3 linked regions of the Cricetulus griseus genome follow. The protein of the gene in region 3 binds, or shares a complex with, the protein of the main gene of each other region. Links are inferred from orthologs where the notes say so. Each region holds a gene or a part of one and is shown on either strand. Other genes may lie near its edges.

Evidence for each region.
Region 1: the proteins of Diaph1 (region 3) and Cdc42 are in contact, whole or in part, in a crystal structure (PDB 3EG5), measured with the Mus musculus proteins. The link is inferred for Cricetulus griseus from reciprocal best matches to the Homo sapiens genes DIAPH1 and CDC42. Residues at the interface, in NP_031884.1 of Mus musculus: Met90, Asp93, Met94, Asn95, Leu96, Lys100, Pro103, Leu104, Lys107, Ile111, Met115, Gln118, Tyr119, Thr122, Ser133, Tyr139, Ser158, Arg160, Val161, Ser162, Leu163, Pro167, Val168, Val171, Arg210, Lys213, Ala214, Asn217, Asn218; in NP_033991.1 of Mus musculus: Val36, Phe37, Gln61, Glu62, Asp63, Tyr64, Asp65, Arg66, Leu67, Pro69, Leu70, Pro73, Glu95, Lys96, Pro99, Glu100, His103, His104.
Region 2: the proteins of Diaph1 (region 3) and Ppfia3 are in contact, whole or in part, in a crystal structure (PDB 4UWX), measured with the Mus musculus proteins. The link is inferred for Cricetulus griseus from reciprocal best matches to the Homo sapiens genes DIAPH1 and PPFIA3. Residues at the interface, in NP_031884.1 of Mus musculus: Lys252, Ser255, Ala256, Ile259, Gln307, Asn310, Ala311, Thr314, Pro315, Ala316, Glu317, Arg322, Gln352, Cys354, Val355, Glu358, Gln359, Glu362; in NP_084017.2 of Mus musculus: Pro719, Arg720, Arg723, Leu724, Arg726, Met727, Ala728, Ala730, Leu731.

The regions. Positions count from the first base shown.
Region 1 is NC_048595.1:15,952,832-15,957,115, forward strand, and holds the start of Cdc42 (cell division control protein 42 homolog), read left to right. Parts: upstream 1-1,369; 5' UTR 1,370-1,491; intron 1,492-4,284. UniProt on the Homo sapiens protein: Plasma membrane-associated small GTPase which cycles between an active GTP-bound and an inactive GDP-bound state. In active state binds to a variety of effector proteins to regulate cellular responses. Involved in epithelial cell polarization processes.
Region 2 is NC_048599.1:154,252,088-154,255,709, forward strand, and holds part of Ppfia3 (liprin-alpha-3), read right to left. Parts: coding exon 3,606-3,622; intron 2,794-3,605; coding exon 2,731-2,793; intron 2,571-2,730; coding exon 2,544-2,570; intron 1,557-2,543; coding exon 1,381-1,556; intron 836-1,380; coding exon 738-835; intron 308-737; coding exon 132-307; intron 41-131; coding exon 1-40. UniProt on the Homo sapiens protein: May regulate the disassembly of focal adhesions. May localize receptor-like tyrosine phosphatases type 2A at specific sites on the plasma membrane, possibly regulating their interaction with the extracellular environment and their association with substrates.
Region 3 is NC_048595.1:199,788,203-199,791,824, reverse strand, and holds part of Diaph1 (protein diaphanous homolog 1), read right to left. Parts: intron 3,622-3,622; coding exon 3,527-3,621; intron 3,261-3,526; coding exon 3,159-3,260; intron 2,912-3,158; coding exon 2,672-2,911; intron 2,561-2,671; coding exon 2,431-2,560; intron 1,410-2,430; coding exon 1,285-1,409; intron 737-1,284; coding exon 572-736; intron 472-571; coding exon 336-471; intron 1-335. UniProt on the Homo sapiens protein: Actin nucleation and elongation factor required for the assembly of F-actin structures, such as actin cables and stress fibers. Binds to the barbed end of the actin filament and slows down actin polymerization and depolymerization.

The sequences.
Region 1 (4,284 bases), about 180 Mb from region 3:
ACAAAGGAGATTTATTTGACCCAGGGGGACAGAGGGCAGGGAATATGAGACAAAGACAGGAGACAGAGGACCAGGGAGAAGGGAAAGAGAACAAGGGAGAGGAGGGAAGGAATATTTGTCCCAGAGGTACAAAGGACTGCCTCTGGATTGAGAGGAGACAGACATGGCCCATAGACAAACAGCAGTTTATAAAGGTAAAAGGGGGAAATCCTGAGTTAGGATGAAATTTGACTGGACAGGTTAATTAGGTAAGACAAAGGGGGGTTTTGATCGCTGGACTACAATACTTTGATAGCTGGACATTGGCAGTCAGCCTCAGGAGGAGGAAGTGGCTAAATAAGGGAATGGACCATGGTGGCTAGTTTTAGGATTATAATCTAACGATTTTTAGCAAGACAGAGGGGATGTGGGAGGACAAGGCCATGTTTGCCACACTCGGGCTGGCTAGAGTCCCTTCAAGAGTCAACCTAGGGGGCCAGGGAAGAGGAGCTAGGCAGAGTAAATGCAGGACCTTTTTGAGGGGGCGGGTCTCTAGCTCTAAACAAAACCCAGGGCAATATTCTATTCTCACTCCTTGACAGGCAGATTGTTTAGAGGCCCGTGGGCTTCAGAAAGCTGTGCACAACAAGTCTCTATTTCTCTTTGAGAAGCAAAAAAGGATGCAGGGTGTGGAGATGCATGCCTACAATCCCAGCACTTGGGAGGTGCAAGGATGAGGATCAGGAGTTCAAGGTCAACCTCTGCTACATAGTTGTGTTCAAAGCCAGCCTGGGCTACATGAGACCCTGTCTCAAACGTCATTAAAGAAAGGTACCCTGGTCATGGGGATGCACATCTTTAATCCCAGCACATAGGAAGCAGAGGCAAGCGGATCTCCAAGTTCCAGGCCAGCCTGGACCATATAGCAAGTTCCAGACAGCCAGGGCTATACACAGAAACCCTGTCTCAAAAAAACCAAGCCAAGCCAAACCAAACCAAACCAAACCAAAAAGACATCCCAGACATGGTGTTGAGTATCAGCACGCAGGAAGCAGAAGCAGGAGAATATGAGTTCTGGGACAGTCTGGTCTATATAGCCATTCTAGGACAGCAAGGGCTATATAATGACACCTTGTCTCAAAATAAAAAAATTAAAAATAAGATATATTTACAATGCTTTTCTTCACAAAGTTCCAAGGACAAAAACAAACTTTAGTGACAACACTGTGAACACTTCTGTTCATAGTTTTATTACGAATAAAAATCACTGGTAAAACGTGCAGAAAACCTGAGTATAGGAGGAACTCAGCCCGCGCGTGCGCGATACGGGCGGAGCCACTACCAAGCCACGCCCACCGCGGCCCGTTCCAGCCCCTTCTTCCTCTTTGTCCCGCCCACTTCCGCGGGCACCCAACCGTGCGTCCCCTGCGTGCTGACGTCAGGCGCGTGCCCCTGTCCGGCAGCCGAGGAGGCCCCGCGCAGTGCTGCCAACGCCCCGGCGGAGAAGCTGAGGTGAGTGCGGGGCCCGAGTAGCCTCCCCGCGGGAGTGTGTTGTGCATCGCCCGGTCCCTGTCGCGCGCCCCCGCCCTCCCTCGGTCCTCGAGGATGCTCGCGGTCGGGGGCATCCCGGTACCTGCGGGCCTCGAGGGGGGGGATTGCCGGGTTCGCGTGCGCCCGCGGGCCCGGGTTCTGAGGGGAACGAGGCGGGGTCGCGGAGAGATTTGGGGCCGGAATGGCGACGAGGCGCTGCCGGGGATGGCGGCGGCGGAGGGCGCATCCCGGCCGAGCTGTCAGTGGCGGCGGGAGAACCAGGCACACCCATCCCACCGGCTCCCCTCCCCCTCCGCCCGTCCGCCCTCCCGCCCGCCCGGGCTCCGCAGACTCCTGGACGGGGGCAGCGGACGTAGGGCCGGGTTCCGGGCCGGGGGCTGGGGGCCGGGGGCCGGGGGCCGCCGGCCGCCGTCTACGTTTTCGGTCTCGACTTCCTGCTTCCCGGGCTCCGCCGTGGACGCGTTGCTGCGGGCGGGCGGCGGGGGAGGGGAGCGGAACTGCGGCCGCAGGGCCGGGCCGGGGCCACGGTGACGGACCGGGCGGCTCTGCGCCTGCGCCCCTCGGCGGTCCCCAGCCCCGCGCTGTGTCCGTCCGCTCCTGCCCCGCGGCTCCCGGGGCTCCCGCGACTGGGCCGGCCTCCTTGCCTTCCGGGACCTGTCTAAGCACCTCCCGAAACCCCGCCTGGCCGCTTGCTCGGTTCCTCATTACTAGCAGGAAATTTTCTTTGTTGGTTTTTCTATTTTTTTTTTTTTAATTCCTCTTTCCTCCCCTTTAAGTCCCGTAGAAATGCAGTGTGGAAGATTACGTCATCTCAGCATAAGGGGTGAGAGTTTTAACTCCTACAAGTCAGGGCTCCACAAATTAAGATACATCTTGTGGCCTTAGTGGGTCACTCCACTCAGCACGTCGGTTCAGAGTCAGGTGGTGTGTTTTTTTTTTTTGTTGTTGTTGAAATCATGTTGCCTGCCTTGATGGCTGCCTGAGATGCATCTAAAATACGGAAAGGTTAAAAATCTTAGGCTTAGGTTATTTTTGGCCAGGGAATACACACTGTCTGCAGCCACTTAGGTAGGCATGAACTTTAAAGGTCCCCTTGGCTGTCTGTACTCGGTTGAACTTTCTTGTGGGAGCAATTCTTTGCCACACTGACCAATTGTGACTTAACCTGATGTAAGGAACCTAAATTTGGTGCATGGTGCTAAGGGTGAGCTAAAAAGAGAATTTAGTTGTATATCTGATTTGTCTTTGTTAGAATTGCAACTTAAAGTTGCATGCTTTAGTTTTACCATTAAAAATGGTTTTCGGATTTATTTTTTATTTTGAAACAGGGTCTCTATGTTTAGTTCTGGCTAGCCTTGACCTTAAAGGGACATTCCTTCCTTCTAAGTCTCTCTTTATAGGACTTATTTATGTTCTGTCATGGGAAACTGATAGAATAGTCCCTGCCGCCTAAGTGCTGGGATTACAGGCATGAACTACTTAAATTACCACCCTTGGTTTTAATTTTTAACCCCCAAAACTTGAGTAATATTTTTAGACTTGTATCACTAGAATTGTGTCCTTTGATTATAAAATGCAGCAGTGCTGAAGAACATTAACATTGCAGAGCAAATGAGGTCCACTTGTGTAATGCATCCTTTTAAGGGTGGCTCATGTTTGAGAAAGAATTTTCCCATTATTGCTCATTTGTATAGAAAATAGCATTGCTTGTTAAGAAACACCAGAGTGGTGTATTCAAATTGACTTTCTGTAGTTTGTAGGTATGGCGCTTGAATCTTCCAAAATACACTGTTAGTCTTTTTGTGACATAGGAGTATAACATTGGAGCATTTATTTACTACTGTATTTTTTAGCTTTCTATGTTTAAAAAGTTTATATGTGAGCCAATTTGTATTTATTTAAAAAGTTTGTGTGTGCACCAGTTTGTATTTTTTTCTTTTTAATTAAGTAATCTGGCTGGTGAGATGGTTCAGTGGATAAAAGCACTGGTCAGGCAGGTCTGACTACCTTAGTTGGATCCCCAGAACCCATGGTGGGAGGAGAGAATCCTGATTCCCAAAAGTTGTCATCTAGCTGGATTTATTTAGTGTTCCATACTTTCAATCTTAGGCAGAGGCAGGTGTATCTCTGAGTTTGAGGCCACCCTTGTCTACATAGAGAGTTCTAGAACATCAAGGACTAGAGAGACCCTGTCTTGAAAAAAGAAAAACAATAACTGTCCCAGATCTTCACATTTTGGCAGCATGCAAGCATGCATGTGTACACACTTAGAAATACACACAGTAATAATAAAAATAAGCAATTACTTTGAAGTTTTAGGTTTTAGACTAAGGCAAGGAAATAAGATTGGTAATTAACTGAGTATTAAAAAGGAGCTTTGAAAATATATACAGTAATTTGTTCAAGACCCAAAGGTGTCTTGTCTTCTGTTACATTCTCTTAAGATGTTTCATACAGTGACCAACCCCGTAGCTTAGTAAACACATTTCCCCTGTCCAGTATTCTAAGCAAGCCCATCAAGACTGAATCCTGAAGTTTACAAAATGTCAAAGTTTGTTTACTTAGGATTTCTTTTTTGCACTTGAAATAGTTTTTTAAAATGTTTTTATTCCTTCATACTTTCATACATGCATACAAAGTGTTTTATATTTTGATCATGTTCATCCCTATCTCCTTTCTCTACCACCTGATCCCTGTCCCCAATATGTTCCCCTCCCAACTCTGTGTCCTCTTTTGTGATCCACTGTGTCTAGT
Region 2 (3,622 bases), on a different chromosome or scaffold from region 3:
AGATGAGGTTGCTGAATTCTTTCTCCAGCAGTTGCCGGGCCTGGAGAAGGATGAGGGGGAGAGGATAGTGAGCCAAGGTTGAAGCGTTCAGGGGAAGTGCCCAGCATGCTCCCCGACTAGCCAAGGCTCACCTGTGCGTTCTGTGTAGGTATCTGTAGAAGCAAAGCCAGGTCAGAGTAGTCGAAGGTTTCATCCAGGGCCAGCAGCGCCCCGTGCACCCCACTCTCGGTGAGATTAGTAGCGAATTCCTTCAGGCCGAGCCCAGACACCCAACCCATGACCCGTTCGTTGGACCACACCATCACGTCTAGAGATGAAAGGGAGATGCATCTCCCAGAGGTCAGCCCTGCCAAATTAGCCTAATTCCACCCTCATTTCCTTTACCAGACATACCTCTATGATGGTTCCACCCTCATCTAGGGAAATGGCTAATTAGGCCTGAGATTCCCATTTCCCTCCCAAGCCACGCTCCCTTACTGGTTCTACTAATTATTTGGAGGAACAGCGCCCCCTAGTGAGCAGGTTCACATTCGCTCTTGGCCAAGCCCTCATGCTGGCTCTACCCCCTGTGTGATAGCGCTCCCCAGTGGCCAGAACCAGCCAGTCTGGCACATAACTCTGCACTCATTCTGTGGCCTGTTCCCCATGGTGACTCCACCCTGTTTCTAGTAGCTGTTGGAATATCTGACTTTCCTCCCTCCAGCCGGCCACTCTACTTGGCCCCCACAGGACCTCACCTCTGATTTGCGTCTGGCTCTCTTCCCTCCTCCGCTCCAGGTCCTTCCGGTCATAGTTGAGCCGTTTTAGGCACATGATACCATAGTGCAGACTAACCCTGAGCAATGGGGGGAAACTGAGTCACCTAGGAGCCTTCCCATGGCCACTGTCGTTATCAGTCTCTCTCTGTCTCTGTGTGTGTGTGTGTCTGTGTGTGTGTGTGCGTGCGTGCGTGCGTGTGGTGTGTGTGTGTGTGTGTGTGTGTGTGTGTGTTACCCATACTGGGCATCCCCAGTGCACTAGTACTTACTTAAGTTCTCTTGCTTGTTCTCTCTCTCTCTCTCTCTCTCTCTCTCTCTCTCTCTCTCTCTTTCTCTATCTCTCTCTCCGGGATCTCTCTATTTTTACTTTTTAATTTTGAAACAGGGTCTCCTAAGCTTCCTGGACTGGCCTTGAACTCTCTAGTACAGGCTAACTTCAAATTTGCAATCCTCCTGATTTGGCCTCCCCCAGTAGCAGGTCACCAGGACCACACTAGATCTTCATTCTCCTATGGACCACCTTCTTGGTTCAAGGAGCAACAAGCTAGAATTTCACAGAACTTCCCATTAGCCAAAGCCTCTCCAGGGGTGTGACTTCTTCCCTTGGCCAGGCAGTCCCCACCTGTGGAAGCTGTCCACCATCTTGAGTTGGCCTCGCAGTTCCTTCTTGTTCAGATGGTCCAACATCCGAGCATCCACCAGTGACTCCATGAAATAGCTTCGGTACTGGGGCAACCCAAGGCTGGGCAACCAGTCGTTCCCCACCCACTCGTGGTTCATGTCGCCATATGCCAGGATCTGGGGCCATGGGCAGGTGAGGGAGGGGGTCAGGCCCTCTTGTCCTTTCCCATATGTACAGGGAAAGGATAAAGTTCGGTTCCCACCCCAAGCTAGTTTTCTCCCCACCACAGAGCAATCTGGCCTCTGGGAACAATGGACCAGCTCAGGGTCTAATGTGGCACAGGCTAGCCTCAAATTCGAAATGAAGTTTGAGCATGATCTTCAACTCTACATCCTCCTACCTCCACCCTCCTGCGTGCTGGGGTTACAGGTGTGCACCCCCACTCCAAGTTGATGCTAGAAGTTAGGACTCTATTATAGGCAAGGGCTCCACCAACTGACTCCCAGCTCTGCAGGTATGCACCCACTCAGCCCAAACATGACTACACCTGGAAAGTTAGGGTTCCAGAGTGACTTTCCTGCCACCCAGAGACCATCACTCCTCAATACCCAGTTTAGGACAAGTCTATGAGATAAGACCAAAGTCTTTTGCAGCTTTAGGGCCAGGAAACAGACCACAGCCCAACCTGGAGCCTCCACCCCTGGCAAGCTCAAGTCAAGCATGTGGCCTCTCTCTTCTCCAGTCACCGTGTATTATGTCCTCGACACCGCTCACTTGCCTGGCCCACTCACAGCCACCAAAACCAGCAAGGCTAACACTTGAGCCACTAAATGGTGTGTCCAGCCCTCTTCCCCATCCCTAACACAAGCCCTATCACCATCCAGCAGCTCCCTCTGGTTCCAGCAATACCATAGTCCCCAGCTCCCCCAGCAACCCACAACCATGGAATGGCCCGTGCACCAAGCTGGAGGTGGACACTGAGGGTTTCCATTTTGTCCCCCACCAAGCCACTATGAATTAGTTCACAGCTGCACACCAAGCTGCAGCCTTCCTGTCCTGGTCAGGGACTTAGAATGTTCAGGCAAAGGGTAGGGCGCAGGAAAAGAGAAAGACCATGCAGCGTGCACAAGCTGTTCATGCGAGCAGCCCGCCCTGCACCCTACCTGCTCCCAGCTGATCTCCTTGGTCTCCTGACCCATTAGTGGGTAGAGGGGGAGAGAAGGGCGGGTTAAGGGGACAGGCAGAGGAGAACAAAAGGGACAGACGATGCATGGACAGACTGACTCCTCCCGGCCCCCACACCCAGTAGGGATAGTGCCACCCTGAGGCCCACCAGCAGGAGGCACTCACAGGTTTCGTAGCTGCTGTCAGGGACTCCATCTCCTCATGTGTCATCCACACGTTTCCTGTGGGCTGGGGGGCACCAGGTGTTACAGAATGGGAGAAGACACAATACAGGTGGGGACAGAAAACAGATAGATGGTGTCCTAAGTGCCCCACTCTGACTCATTCTGTTTGGGGTTTCAAAACTGAGGTGACAGAGGAAATGACCCTGTGTTGGGCATCTCCCTAGACAAGTGTTCTAGCACTGGGCATTGCTTTTACTTTAAAAATATTTAAAATAACATTTAGTTGATGTGAGTAGGAGTTGATTTTCTTCTTCTACCATGTGGGTTCCAGGAACTGACCTCAGGTGGTTAGTTAGACTTGGTGGCAAGCCCCTTTACCATCTCACAGGCCCTCTTTTTTCTTTTGAGTATGAGACGAAGCCTCACTAAATAGTCCAGGCTGAACTTAAACTTACTCAGTAGCCCAGGCTGGCTTTCAACGTGCTATTCTATTGCTTCTGACACAGGTACCAATAATTGTCTGCCTGTTTGAGACTTCCTAGGAAAAAACTGGGTCTGGGCATTGTGGGGCTGATTCAGGAGGCAAAGGCACATGGATCTCTATGAGTTCTAGGCCAGCCAGACCTACATAGTGAGATCTTGTCTGAAAAGAAAAGAAAGAGGAAAACTATGGATTTGGGGACTGTCCCTTGGAAGTGGTGAAATTTCCAGGAGGGGAGTCTTGAGGACAGGAGTAACAAGCCCTGAAAGAGATGTTCCCTGAAGAAGGAACTCATGTAACCCACCCATGACATATGGGTAGAGCCCATGGGGAATACAGTCAGTGGGCCCAGGTTTGGAGCACAATGAGGGATGGGGCCCAGCAGCACAACTCACAGTGCGGGAGGAAGCGG
Region 3 (3,622 bases):
ATACAGAGCTACAAGAAGGGGGGAGTCGGGGAAACATTTTTGGGAACCCAAAAGCAGCAGGAATGAGAGCAGGTCAGGGAACATTTTGCATAGGCAGAGGAAAGACTAGGTGTGACAGCAATTCCCAAATCACAAGGGTGATGGGACATACATAATCCAAGAGCCAGCAAAGGAGAGGAAAAAAAAATTAAACATGTTGAAATCCAGCACCAGGAGCTTGGAGGCAGAAGGTTGCCAAAAACCATTTGCCAGGAGCCACATTTAGACCCAAGCTCTCCTGTGTAGCTCTAGGTTCTAGACAAAGATGCCTTCCAATGTCCCCTTCACATTCCCACCTGCATTCATGTCTATGAGCTGCTCTCGCTTCTGCTGCTTCTCCAGTCGCTCCTTTTCTGCCTTCTCCTTGGCTAGTTTTGCTCTCCGCATCTTTTCTTCTGTTTCCCGGCGCTTCTGATTCTCCTTGACTGCTTGCTGAAGCACAGATTGGGGGAAGGTGGATATGTGGGCACATGTAAACCCACCAATAACCATTAGGAACCCCATGAAAAATTAGCAGTTTACCCTTGCTCACCAAAAACATATTCCTAAAGTTGTGCAGATCCATAAAGAATTCTTCCACAGACAATTTTTTAGGGTCAAAGATGAAGTAGTCACCTAGCTCCTTATATAGAGTCTCCATGTTGGAGTGCATCATCCGTAGCTTGTTATACTGCTCTTGTGCATCTTTCACAAAACTGTGCGCCAAAGAGTAAAGGACCACGACCAAGACCAGAGACCCACTCAAAGATGAAAAGTGGGCTGTGCAGCAACCACCGTATAGTGCTGCTCATGACAGAACAGAAGCACTCTAATTATTCAGAGTGACAAACCATAAGCTATGGCTTACCTATACAATAGAAGCTGCAAAGACTACTATAGACACAAGACTGAGACATATGCAGATAAAGCTACATGATGCAGTTTCTGTGTAAAACAACAATGAGGTATAAATCAGAAAGTGGTGGTGAAAGGGTCTGTCTGTGACAGCAATGGGGCGCACAGAGTAGGGACTCGGGGGTTTTTAGTGAAGGTGGGTACGTTTATAACGGGAATGGGACACAGAGTAGGCACTCAGGGATTTGTAGTTTATCTGCAAGGTTTGCTTTCCCTTCTACGTTAAGTTTAAAAATTGTGTATTTAGTGGAAAAAAAAACCAATTCAAAGGTGAAAACTGAAAATTGCCATCATCTATTTTCCCCAGAGATTTTCCCTTCCCAGGGATCAAGTCCTCCAAAGAAAGGATATAGTCATTTTCTCAACAAACTTGTCCTTTTCGTCTGTGGCAGCTGGGAAATTCTGAACATCACGTTCCACGTCAGCGATCTGTTTCTTCATCTGATCTAAGTTCTTCTGTAAGTTCTCAGCAGAAACTACAGGAGAGAAACGGAAGACCTTACTAATAACCATCAAGAGCCCACCCAGCCTCACCTGCTTACATACTTCCCTTTCTTCTCTATGTATGCTCCTCTAGCCTACATATGCTCCTCTCTCTGATTCATGTTGGTTTTGATCTCTGCAGCAAAAGCATAATTATTTGCTAATTGAACTTCCAACCTTCATACACTGTACAATACTAACAGAAGCAGACTTCATGTCATTTAAAAAGAACCGATGGGATCCCCTGAGACCTTGGTCTCATTTATTTCAGATTACAGGGTTTCAGAAGTAGGAGATGTAGGTAGGAACCCAGAAGCAGGGTAGAGATCTGTCCCATTTCAACCCAGTGTTTTGCCTACTTCCCAACAATGAGGCCCACTGCTTGTTAATCCAGTCTGTCTTTCAGAATGACAAAAGCCATGGACCTAGACTAAAAGCACCTGCCTTTCCAGCATCTGTGCGTGTGTGAGTGCCTGCGTGCGTGCGTGCGTGTGTGCCTATGCACGCAGTATTTCAAGAAAGGGAAAAAGTACTTCCACTTGTATACAGGCTGTCTTCAACCTCACACTCCTCCCTGAATCTTAGACACCTAACTACTTAAATTCTCCTTTATTCTCACTTAAAATGGTCTGAACCAAAAATGATTTACGTCTACACAGTGTCCTATTTCTTTCCTCATGGAGAAACTTTTTGGGCTCAGTACACACCTTTTTAAGAAAAATTTTCAAATTACACTTATTTGTGTGTGTTTCAGTGAGAGAGAGAGAGGGGGGAGGGGGGGGAGGGAGGAGGGAGAGAGAGAGAGAGAGAGAGAGAGAGAGAGAGAGAGAGAGAGAGAGAGAGAGAGAATGTGTGTGTGTGTGTGTTTAGGTCATAGAGAGCTAGTTTTCTCCTTCCACTATGTTGGTCCCAGGGACTGAATTCAGGTTGGAGGTTTGGCAGCAAGCATCTTTACCCACCGAGTCATCTTGCTGGCCCAGAACAATCTTCTAGCTTTGCCCTACACTGCCTTACCTCGGCTGGCTTTCTCTACATGGGCAAGCTCATCAGGAAACTTGAGGACATCAGGGTAGTCATTCTCACATAACTCAGCCAGAAAATGCAACAAAGTCATCTTCTGATCTGCAGACTTGGTGTCTCGGAGCTTGGGGTGAGAGGAGAAACTGTTAGTCCTGACTTGTCCCAAATGATCTTAAGCCAATACTGGGCTCAAGGTAGCCTTCCCTCTGTCCTCCTGTCTAATTCCATGGTTCACCTTACAGAGGAAGCTGATATTAAAGCCAAAAGCACCAGCATTCCTGGAGCCAGCATTCATGTAGTTTCCAACAAGCAGTGTGATCTCCAGGAGGCTGGAGAAGCTCTCGCTCTTACGCAGCTCCTCACACGCAGCAGTGACAGACACAATCTCTGGCTTGATATTCTCAACTTGCTCACTGAATTGTAGCTTGAAGAGAATGGCATTGAGGCGAGGCCGAAGGCGGGGCACTGTGCCCATCTAGTGAGGAAGGCAACAAGTTCCATTATGGAGCTAATGGAGAGAGACGTCAAAAGATACAGGCCGAGCCTCCTCTGTGAGACTGGAGCTTCAGAGCAAAGGAGTGGGGGGTGGGGGAGACAGAGAAATTGATTAACTTAAAAGGTTCAAAACAGATCAGAGGCAAGGAGCAAGTGACCAGGCTGGTCTCCAGAGGGAAGGGTATAAGGGAGTTGGAAAACAGCCAACTGCTACAGGCCTCACTCACCACCACGCCAAACTGCTCTGACTCAGCCAGATCATCATACTCGTCCTTCAGTTCAGAAAGCATTTTTAATTGCTCTGGTTCTGGCATCTGTTTAATGAGGTTCTGGAAAAGAGAGTAAATGTGGGGTGAGCTGTAAGTCTGAGTATCACGACTGTGACTCTAAATTCCACACTCTGACCAGTGATAACGAAGGAAGCATGAGGGCGGGGCAGCTTGTGAGATGGGGGATTCCTGAGTCTGCTGAGGTACCCTGCCCACAGCAGCTTCTTCAGCCAGCATTTTGAGTCAAAACTGGGGAAGGAGCTCCTGCTCACCGAGTGAGGCGGTGAGGCTGCTGTGCAGCTGTGCAGAGCCTCCTTGTTGCTTACCTGGATCATAGATTCCGTGAGAACAGCCTCATTCACCTCCAGGATAACACTCTTAATCTCTTGATAGGGCATTCGGAAGGAGCCCAAAAAGATGGC